3 linked regions of the Arabidopsis thaliana genome follow. The protein of the gene in region 2 interacts with the protein of the main gene of each other region in a pairwise test. Each region holds a gene or a part of one and is shown on either strand. Other genes may lie near its edges. The genes, in order: MDA1, AT5G05120 and BZIP60.

Region 1 (3,759 bases), on a different chromosome or scaffold from region 2:
ACTGATATGATCCAACGGTTAAATAAAACGTCATTGTGTTTACGGATATAACTAGACTAAAACGCAGCGTTTTAAATTAAACGACTAGACCCATTAACCCGACATTTTGACCCGTCTTTGTTCTTCCTCAATTTCAATTCGCGTTCGATTTCAAACCTCAGCAGATTCCGATTAGATTTTGCGTCGATGGCGTCAAATCCACACAGAAGCGGTGCGGGTGGTTCCCTTTATGGCGGAGCCGCTCCATACAGATCTAGGTATAACTTTATTATCAGTTTCTCGTTTTGGAATTGCTTTTAAATTTCTTTCTCTGATCTTTTGGATAGAGAAAACTAGAGATTTATGGGTCATAGATTTTGATAATTTCTGCGGAACTATAGCTCTATTGATTTGTATTTGTGGCTGCAGGGAAGGGCTTAGTACTAGAAATGCTGCAGGTTCAGAAGAAATCCAGCTGAGGATTGATCCGATGCACTCTGACCTGGATGATGAGATCACAGGTCTCCATGGCCAAGTCAGGCAGTTGAAAAATGTAAGAAACCCTCCTAGTTACCAATTCTATCTCTCCTTTGTCTGTGTTTTCATTACAGCCTTTTGGTTTTGAAAGTGGCTCTGTATATGTGTTTTTGTTCCAGAGTACTATGATAGTATGTATGTTCACTCATCAGTGAGTATCTGATTAATTAGTTGACTTACCAATTGAATTCTACATATTTGATGTCTGTTATAAACCTTCCTTGCTTGTTGTTTTATATACCATACTTCTTAAATGAATCAGTTGACATTCTTTACGATTCCTTGTGTTTTACCTTTTTGAACATAACTTATGCCTCATGATTTTGGTTAGTCCATTGATCGCATATTTTTATGCAGATTGCTCAAGAAATTGGGTCAGAAGCAAAGTTTCAGAGAGACTTCTTAGATGAACTGGTATGTTGTTGAGAGATGTCGCTTAAGTTCTTTATTCATCCATCATAGTAAAGTTGAATGTAAACACCTTACATCAGCAACATGCATTTTAGTCTTTACACTGTAGGCTAATCACTTATTATTATCCGAGTTATGGGTTACCTTTATCTTGTTTCAAATGGCTGTCATTATTTGGGAAACTACAGCTTCATTCCCAACGTATGTATAAATTATACCATAGCTTACAAACCAATGAAAATCTTGATAAAAGGGACTGTTTAGATTATGTTCAGACTTATACGCAGGGACTGGTCTGAACTCTGGTGGGTACTGGGTAGGAATATATATCTTCAATCTCGGCTAGTTAAGTGAATGCACTACAAAATGGTTGCAGCTTATCATTGAGTCTATATATACCGGTTTCCTTATAAAGGAGAGTATGATGTTGAAGATGAACATTGCTCTTATTTGTTTCTAGTTTTTCTTTTTGTTACCTAAAGAACATCAGCTAGATTTTGTTGCGTGAGACTGCATTAAGTGCTGTTATACAGAATTACTCTAGGATGCAAATAACAAGGGGGAGAAATGGTGTTCTTGTCTGAAACATAAAGCTTTTTGTTTTTGTGTGACAGCAAATGACATTGATCAGAGCGCAAGCCGGGGTGAAGAACAACATAAGGAAACTAAACATGAGCATAATCCGTAGTGGCAACAACCACATCATGCACGTGGTTCTTTTCGCTCTCCTCGTCTTCTTTGTCCTCTACATCTGGTCTAAGATGTTCAAAAGATAAAAAGACTCTCCAAACCTACGATGAATCTTCATTTCAATCGGCGAAGAATGAAATCTAGAAATCCCCTTGCTCAAGTTTAAAAGATCATCGAGAGTTGTACAAACTGGAGTAAGAAGAATTCGCTTACTCTCTAGAGATTATAGAACATAACATTTTCCCACTTTTAGACTTTTAGTTTTGTGTTCGAACAAACTCTTTTGTCGATAACCAAATCAATCTTAACCATTACCGGTTTAATTAGACTTTGGTTCAATATCAAATACTACTACTTCTTGGTTGTATTAACAGGGCCCAATGGCTTTGCTTTCTACGAAATCTCTACAACCAATTGGAAGGTTTAATGTTTTACCCTGTCTCCTCCAATCATGTCGTTTCAAAATCCTCTAATTTCTCAGTCCTAGCGCTAAAGCTCTTCCTGGGTTCGAGTTGATTTCTCAGTCATCGATTGAAATTTTCTCGGGAAAAAGGGCCTCATCGTCTACCATCGACAACGAGGTTAGTCGTTAATTGGATTTTGATCCGTCTCTCTACCACAAATTGTTTCCTTTCGTCTCTTGTCATGTGCTCTTACCATATCCGATTCGCATCAAATCCGTAGCAACATTTAAAACTAAGAATCTGCAACTGAGAACTGTTTCGTAGCTGGGATTATGTTCATTGAAGCGTTAATTTAATTCTATTGAACAGTTATTGAAAGGTGGTGGCTTTTGCTTCTTTGTTTCACAGAAACCAGAAAATGCAAAGTCTTAGTCAACTTGGACCTTCAGAGATTTTCCTTGTCGCCAGAAGAGAAAAACCCAGTACGAGGTTAGTTATGAGCGACTCGAGCTCGATTCATGACTTCTTGAGATATTGCACTTCTTGACTTTGGTGCTTGATTCTATGAATTTGCAGAGCACAGCTTTGGTTTACGGGAAGACTCTCTTTTAGACAAGAAACAAATGGTGAGTGAACCAAAATAATACAATGGAGAAAATGAATCTTATCTCTTTTTTTCACAATTTTTGAAAACAATATGGTTTCATAACGATGTTGTTTTTTATAGGGATTCGTTTAAAGAATAGAGTAGAGTTTAGTCCAAGACCTGTACCTCCAAATCTGATCGCAGCAGAGAAAGAAGAAGCTAAAGCTGTTTTAACTCTATTCTTCAAGAAGCAAGGTCTTAGCAACAGTCTCTCTTCTCGGTTAATCAACAAATCCGATCTATTCATTGACCATTTAGTGTCCAGGCTCCATTCTGTTCATAAAGCTCGATACCTCGTAGGTTCGATCTTTCTTCTTTAAAACCTTTACTATTTAATGAGAAGAGCTCGGCGATGAACTCTAAAAGTTTGACTGTAACAGGAAGAGAGCTTACTACACTTGAGATTCGAGATTCTCTCATTCCTTACCTCGAACAACTTCATGAAGAACATGGTGATCTTCTCGCTGAGCTTGTTGTGAGCTTCCCTGATCCACCAGCTGAACCTAGACTTGTTGCTTCATCTCCAGTTTCTGTCCTACCACCTCGTGGTGACACAGATTCTGCTGCAGACACTCGTAAACTCAGAGCGGTGTCTCGAGTCAGCGAACTTGACACAGAAGGTGCATTACGTCCTCAGACCCTTTACCTTCTTGACCTCGGTTTAAACCTCGAGCAGATCAAAACGATCACTCGAAAGTTCGCTGCCTTTCCTTATTACAGCCTCGATGGAAAAATAAAACCTGTTGTGGAATTCCTTCTAGACCTCGGAATTCCTAAATCAGATATCCCCACAATCCTCTGCAAACGCCCACAGATATGCGGAATCAGCCTAACCGATAACCTGAAACCGACAATGGCCTTTCTTGAGACACTTGGCATTGACAAGAACCAATGGGCAAAGATCATTTCCCGTTTCCCAGCCATCCTCACTTACAGCCGCCAGAAACTTACTTCAACTGTCGAGTTCTTATCACAAACTGGTCTCACAGAAGAACAGATAGGGAGAATCCTAACCCGATGTCCAAACATCATGAGTTACAGTGTAGAAGACAAGCTCCGTCCAACTATGGAGTACTTTAGATCGCTAAATGT
Region 2 (3,105 bases):
TATATGTTCTATGTAAACAAAACCATTTACTCAAAACGATCAAAGACGCACTTTCTTAATTTTCCATAGTACAGTGTCATAAGCTTCGTTTTATTATCGAACTAGGTCATTGCTGCAAGTGACCCTTCAAAAATTGCACTAGGAAGAAGCCTAGGTGACTCAGAAGCGCAAATTGCAAAATGCAAAAGATTGCACTAGAGATTTTACCTCTAATTACAAGAGAGATTTAAAAGGCAAAGAGAAAATCTGAAAGCCGTGGTTAAGTTATTCATTAAGACAATCCATCAAAGAAACCATGAGTTTCAGTTGCGAAAGTGTGTTGGACAGCCTCAGGTACCAGTTGCGATTTACGAAATGTGTTGAAAGTGTGTTATAGTCCCCTTTTTCCTTCTCAGGTAGCTAATAACCAATCAATATCTTTGCTTTTGAAGGAAAGACAGGTCGTCGCACCATCCAATCTACGTGCTTCAGATCTTCTCTGGTGACGGATTCGTGCTCCTTCTCAATCCTCATCAACTTGTTTAACGTGTGCGCTATTCCCTCCGGCTCAGTGAGAGATTGCAGTTTCTCGAACATGCATGATTCTCTTCTTCTCCATCCTCCTATTTTCCACTTTTGTCTTCGCAAGTACATCAACCCTGATCGATGTCGGAGCATACTCCGTTGTACAGACCCTTTTCAAGAGATGGCTACTAGAACCAATGATACGGCGGAAGTTCATCGTCAATCCAAGCTCTCAAAGTTCACTAACCCTAATTATAATACATATAGCTTTCTTCTTATCTCCAATTAATGTGCTATTTATAAAAATGTTTACAAAGTTTATAAACCTTGATTACATAGATGTTCAATATCATAAGTTTAATCCAATCTGTATATTTTAATGCTGAAAAGATAGCTAAGAAACTATATAGATTTTAATTTGGTATGTTAGAGTTGAATATCTTGTTTAAACCTTGACTATACATAGATGTTCATTATCTTAAGTTTAATCCAATCTGTCATACTAAGCCATGTATATCACAAGAAAGTCTGAAAATGTGCTATATGTCATAGTAAAATTATTAAGTTAATGCTTTTTTGATGTGAGAATCAGCATTATAGATTTGATGGTAAAATGCTTCCATCAGTTTCTCTACTCTTATTAAAAGGTAGCCAAATTTAGTTTAATTACTTACTTTTAATATATATTTTCATTATGTTGATATGAAAATAATTTTATTTTTATTACCTCCAAAGTGATGTATATGAAAATAAATAAAATTGCAAGCAATGGAAAACAATAGAAAACTTAAAGGTAAATATTTTATTTAAGAGTTGAGATAATTATGTACTAAAAGTTTACTACATAATGACACTAATTAAATCTTTAATTCTTGTTTTCTAAAGTTGACTACATTAAGATCTACTAATTAACTCTTTAAACTCTTCTAAATAATTTTGTTTTCAACTATATCTCAAATTTAATAGGGCAAAACCAAAATCTCCCTACTCACTTTGGAAATCAGTAATGTTTGGAACTAATTTTGACTAAATATGCTAAATGCAACAAGTATTAATTCAGAAACAAATTTACTACGCAAATTCGGCAAATGTAAAATGTCAAATATATATAGTAATTAAACATGTTATGTGTGAGTTGTCGAAATGATAAACTAGTTTGTTAAGTACTTCAGTTAGTCTTTGTTCTTCATCATGTTTCTCTATAACTAAGTCCCTTTCCATATTTCATCAATATGCATTTATCTTATTCAAACATCATAACATTACAACATATAACTTTCCTTGATATTAAAAGTGCATACAAAGTATTAAATCTTTAAATACCTATCCGGGTGCAATAACATATTCAAGCCATCAAACCTAATTTCTAAAAGCCCGATCCGATCGACAACGAAATGTTGTCCTCGGACTCGAATTACGCTAGTGATATTAGCGACGATGCCTCCGCCACCGGATCGATAGAGAATCCTATATACAAATGCAAGTATTGTCCTAGGAAGTTCGATAAAACACAAGCATTAGGTGGTCATCAAAATGCACACAGAAAGGAGAGAGAGGTCGAAAAACAACAAAAAGCATTTTTGGCGCATTTGAACCGACCAGAACCAGATCTTTACGCGTACTCGTATTCGTATCATCATTCATTTCCTAACCAATACGCACTCCCACCGGGATTTGAACAGCCTCAGTACAAAGTTGATAGATCATACAAGATGTCCATGGTCTACAACCAATATGTGGGATCCTCAAGCTCTAGCTTTGCAGGACTACAAAGTGACCCAAGTCAAGGAATGAACCAGGATTGGACCTTTACCGGGATCCCATTCCTACCCCAATCTCAACCTCAACCACTATCGTCACCAATATGTTTGGATCTTTGCCTTGGCATTGGTAGCTCCCAAACCCAACCACAACCTCAAGAACCAAATGATGCAACAGAAGAGATGGATGCTGAGAAAGAAAATGATGGTTCTTCCCTTTCTCTCTCACTCAAACTGTGAAATTGTAATCTTTCCCTTTTAAGTATTTCTTAAACTTTCATTCCTCACCTTTGTTTTCTTGCATAGTATTATCGGCTTGTGTCAAATCAGTACTTGTGCACTTGAACATTGTAATAAACTTGGTTGTTATTTGCATTTGAATTTCATATAATAATAAAAACTTGATATTGTTCTGACTTTGGGGTGTCAAATTCTATTTATAAGAATTTGAGATGCAAATCTCAATTTTAGTTACTTTATGATACCAATATAAAAAAAAAAACCACTCTTTCGAAAGGATGCGGGTTTTGAAATACTTTCGAGCTCCTTCTTCTCTCCGTCATCGTTCCTCTCCCATGGCTCAGTTTCTTCGACGCTTCTCTTCCTCTCCCATGGCGAACGAAGACGAATTCCAATCTCCGGTGGAACCATCACAGCAGCAATCTCAGGACTGTGTTTCGGAGTCTTATCTGATAGGGTTTGTTATCGCGAACATAGTAGGGTTAAAGTACTATTCCGGCCGAATCAACGGTCGAGAGATGGTGGGTCTGGTTCGAGAACCCTTGAACGTATATGACAATAATGCAATCAGAGTACTCAACACGCGATCTGAGCAAGTGGG
Region 3 (3,759 bases), on a different chromosome or scaffold from region 2:
CCTGACCCGTTTCGTGGAAACGTTCTACAAGTCTCGCGAGGAGATTGAAAGACAAGCCGAGGCTGAGAAGGAGATACTGGAGAAAAGAAAAATGAACATCAAACAAAATGGGAACCTCTAAAGAACCGTAGCTAGTTTCATCGACAACTTCTATGCTGCTTAGATGGAACTGCAAACTATCTATCATCTCTTCTCTAGTGCTTATGTACTAGAAAATATTTGAACTTTTTTACAATTCGAAGTTTTACCTTATCTTCATTGTTCTAATAAAACTATCTGTTCGTTTTTTTTTACCTGCCTACGCATCCGTACCAAACATTTTACAAACAAAAATCTCTGTGACAATCCCAAAGATTGGCTCGTCTGAACCCTAAATAATATCTGATGACAAAAAAAAAAAAAAAAAAAACTGTGATAATGTCAAATGAAGCAAACATGTAAAAACTAGCATGAGGAAAAGCTTTATCAATGTTAATCAACCTAATGAATTGTTATCTAGTAATTAGAAGTGATATTACCTGAAGTTATGCCTCAAAATCAACATTTTAAAGGCAGAAGCATTATTAGATAGATATCATCCATAACCATAAGACCCACATTCACTGTTAACTTATCGATATTAGACAGAAAACTTTCAACAGCGAAATACAAAACAAGAGAGAGAAAACTAAAAGACACTCATCTACAACTCAAAATGCGCAAAAGAAGCAGTTAAAAAAGGCGTTGTCACGCCGCAAGGGTTAAGATTTGGTATTTCATCCTAGGCCTCGAACCCTTACATCTCCGACTAACGCCGGTATAAGACGGTTTGCTACTACTCCCGAGCCCGTTTAGAACCAGCTTTTCTGGTTCTGGACGTAGGAGGCAACACTTTGTGTGGGACATATAAGGGAATAGGCAAATGAAGTTTACTCCCAGAAGCCAAAGCAGGGAACCCAACAGCAGGGATTCCAACAAGAGCACAGCAGACTCCTGCTTCGACATCATGGTAGTATTATTGCCATTACCCTTTTGCAAACAGTAACGTAGAGACTGGTTTTCAGCAACGAAGCACTCAAGCATACGTCCTAGTCTCAAGCATTCTCTTTCGAGATACTTACTCTTCTTCTCTAAATCTTGTACATATTCCTTCTTCCTCTCTCTCGATCTAACCGCCGCATCTCTATTTCTTACTCTCCTGAACCACAATCACATCCCAATTATCAAACCTCAGTTTCTTTTCATAGCATAAAAGGCTTTAACAATCTTAAGTTAACCAAAATACACATACCTATGTTTGAACATAATCAGCTCATGAATATTAACACAAGATTAACAATAATTAAAGGCAACCAAAATTTAAACAGTCATTTACTTAAATGATTAGTTCTCAATGTTGTTATCAAAACAATAACACACTTATAGCAATCTAAATGAAACAAAAATCAACATCACTCATAATCAATCAACTCTTCAACGTCACACATACATAAACATAATAACATGAACATATCACAAGATACGCAAGCAAAATTTAAACACTCGTTTCTCAAATCTTCACTGTTACACATACGTATCTCCTAGTTCTCAATGTTGTTCTCAAAGCATAACACACTTTTAACAATCTTAATGAAACCAAAATCAACACAAACATACAAAATCCATCCATAAACCCTAACTTTTCAAACAAGAGTAAAATTAGATATACCTTCTTCGTTTTTTAGCCACAGCATCATCGTCTCCTTCTTCGTCATCATCATCATGAATCTCGCTACCAGAATCATTAGACTTCTTCTCAACAACCAAATCCGAATTCTCCTTCCCGGAATCATCAGCGGCGGCGGGAGAATCGACGGTTAGAACTTTATCAGCCGCCAAATCAACGGAGCCAGAATCGCTAGTTGGATAATCAACGAGTAGATCCGCTATGAAATCTGAAACCGATTGCTGATCCAATTCCACAAAACTCTCCTCTTGATGATTCTCATCGTTCATCAATTGATTCTCGATTTCTCCGATCCATGAATCCGGTGAAGACTGAAGAAAATCCTCCGCCGGAAGAGAATCAATTACGATTGAAGGATCGAAATCGAAGAAGAAATCTTCATCTCCGAGTAAATCTATGCTTCCAAATTCCTCCGCCATGGTCAAAAAAAAAAAAATATACAAAGAAGAAAAAAAAAAGCGAATTTAATTTAAGAAATTGGAAGAGAGATGAGTTATATAGGAACTGTGTTTGAGACTTTTCTAAATTTCTTTGCGACCAAGTAAATGTGTAGAAAAAGAGTCAGCATGACACGTGTTGATTATGGACGCGTTTTTTGAATTTTTAGCCAATGATGTGATGGAGTGTACTGTGTTATAGTGTTTCTGTTAGCAGAGGATTATTGTTTTTATGTGCCGTCACACAACCAATGAGAAGGCTTCAAGCTGGAAGAATAGGATCACAGCCGAACACGTGTACTCAGTGAAGTGTTCGTGTGATTAATAACTCGGTTCTAATTCACTTCTTTTCTCTTGGTTTGATTTTCTTATTTTCGGTACAGTTATGTAAACCAGTTAGCTATAGTCAAAACGATGTACATGTAGTTGAGATGGACAATGAGACCAAGGAGAGCAAGGCTTCTTTGACCATTTCTCAGAAATCAATCAAAATTCTTCAGTCCCTTTTTCTCTTTGTCACCGTCAACATCTTCCACGATTGAATCTTTGTTCTCCGAGAGGACTTTTCTTCCTTCGTGACCATCTTCTAGACTTTGAAAGTTATCAATTTGTTAATTAAAATCATATATTATATTGTCAATTTATGTTACATTCTGGATTATCTTCCTTATTCAATTTTAAATGAGTGATTAATCTTCATTCAATCTCACATGAATGAATTTGTAAAATTTTCAGTTCTCTAGCAGATGAGTGAACTAATTATATATGTGAAAGTTGATCTACTATTTTCATATGAATGTCACGTTATTATTTAATTATTTTCTATGTGTTCATTCAATAATTAATGTAAGATTTACATTTATTATTAATTATTTATCTTTAATTGTATCAATTCTAAATTTATTTTTGTTATTATATGTATTTTAAAGAATAAATATATTTTACTATTTTCTTCATACTCATTTAAGGTTTATTTGCTAATGTTTTGTAGTCATAACTTAAAATAGGAATAGATATTACTATAGTGAATTAGCTAATGGTTTGGTAGCTTATTATCATTAATCTCTATCTAAATAATATAATACAGAGGATGAGGAGTATACAGAGATCCATCCTCAAATTCCTGATGTTTATATATTTCCAACATTAACATCTATTAAATTGTTTTACGATGAAAATTATTTCAAGATTGTGTGAATAATTACACTTTTTCAAAAAGTACTTAAAAAGTAGTTTAACATTAAAAGCAGTTGATGATTATATATTTTTCAATAAAATGTTAAATTATATTTTAAAAAAAGTAGATAAAGTGCAATTTCAATTAGAAACGAATAGAAGACAAGTTTTAAACACCAATAGAAATATTAAAAAGCTAGATGATGTTAGTTTTAACTTCTGGACAAAAACCAAATTTGGAGGTCGTATCTCTTGTCCCCAAGAAGTCTGATTGATGAGATTTGATTTTGGACTTGCTTATCAACCGAACTTGTCAATAATAGCATTAGTAATTATAATTTTAGTAACACATTATTTACATTAATTATAATTTTAGGACAATTGTATTAACCTGACTTGTGATCTAATGACGTGGTTCATAAAGTCACTTATCGAAAGTTA

Evidence for each region.
Region 1: the proteins of AT5G05120 (region 2) and MDA1 interact in a two-hybrid assay, tested with the Arabidopsis thaliana proteins (one large-scale study listed by BioGRID).
Region 3: the proteins of AT5G05120 (region 2) and BZIP60 interact in a two-hybrid assay, tested with the Arabidopsis thaliana proteins (one large-scale study listed by BioGRID).

What each region holds. Positions count from the first base shown.
Region 1 is NC_003075.7:8,376,376-8,380,134, forward strand, and holds the start of MDA1 (Mitochondrial transcription termination factor family protein), read left to right. Parts: upstream 1-2,052; 5' UTR 2,053-2,198; intron 2,199-2,390; exon of another isoform or gene 2,391-2,429; 5' UTR 2,430-2,439; coding exon 2,440-2,510; intron 2,511-2,597; coding exon 2,598-2,647; intron 2,648-2,748; coding exon 2,749-2,967; intron 2,968-3,047; coding exon 3,048-3,759. Other genes in the region: AT4G14600 (Target SNARE coiled-coil domain protein), read left to right, coding at 187-257, 409-532, 874-930, 1,542-1,703. UniProt on the Arabidopsis thaliana protein: Transcription termination factor required for processing and steady-state levels of plastid transcripts. Involved also in chloroplast transcriptional pausing, a general feature of chloroplast genes.
Region 2 is NC_003076.8:1,509,334-1,512,438, forward strand, and holds AT5G05120 (C2H2 and C2HC zinc fingers superfamily protein), read left to right. Parts: upstream 1-1,898; coding exon 1,899-2,504; downstream 2,505-3,105. Other genes in the region: AT5G05113 (uncharacterized protein), read right to left, coding at 400-657; AT5G05130 (DNA/RNA helicase protein), read left to right, coding at 2,783-3,105.
Region 3 is NC_003070.9:16,135,336-16,139,094, forward strand, and holds BZIP60 (basic region/leucine zipper motif 60), read right to left. Parts: upstream 2,129-3,759; 5' UTR 2,125-2,128; coding exon 1,688-2,124; intron 1,178-1,687; coding exon 727-1,177; 3' UTR 388-726; downstream 1-387. Other genes in the region: AT1G42980 (Actin-binding FH2 (formin homology 2) family protein), read left to right, coding at 1-121. UniProt on the Arabidopsis thaliana protein: Transcription factor involved in the unfolded protein response (UPR). Acts during endoplasmic reticulum stress (ER) by activating unfolded protein response (UPR) target genes via direct binding to the UPR element (UPRE).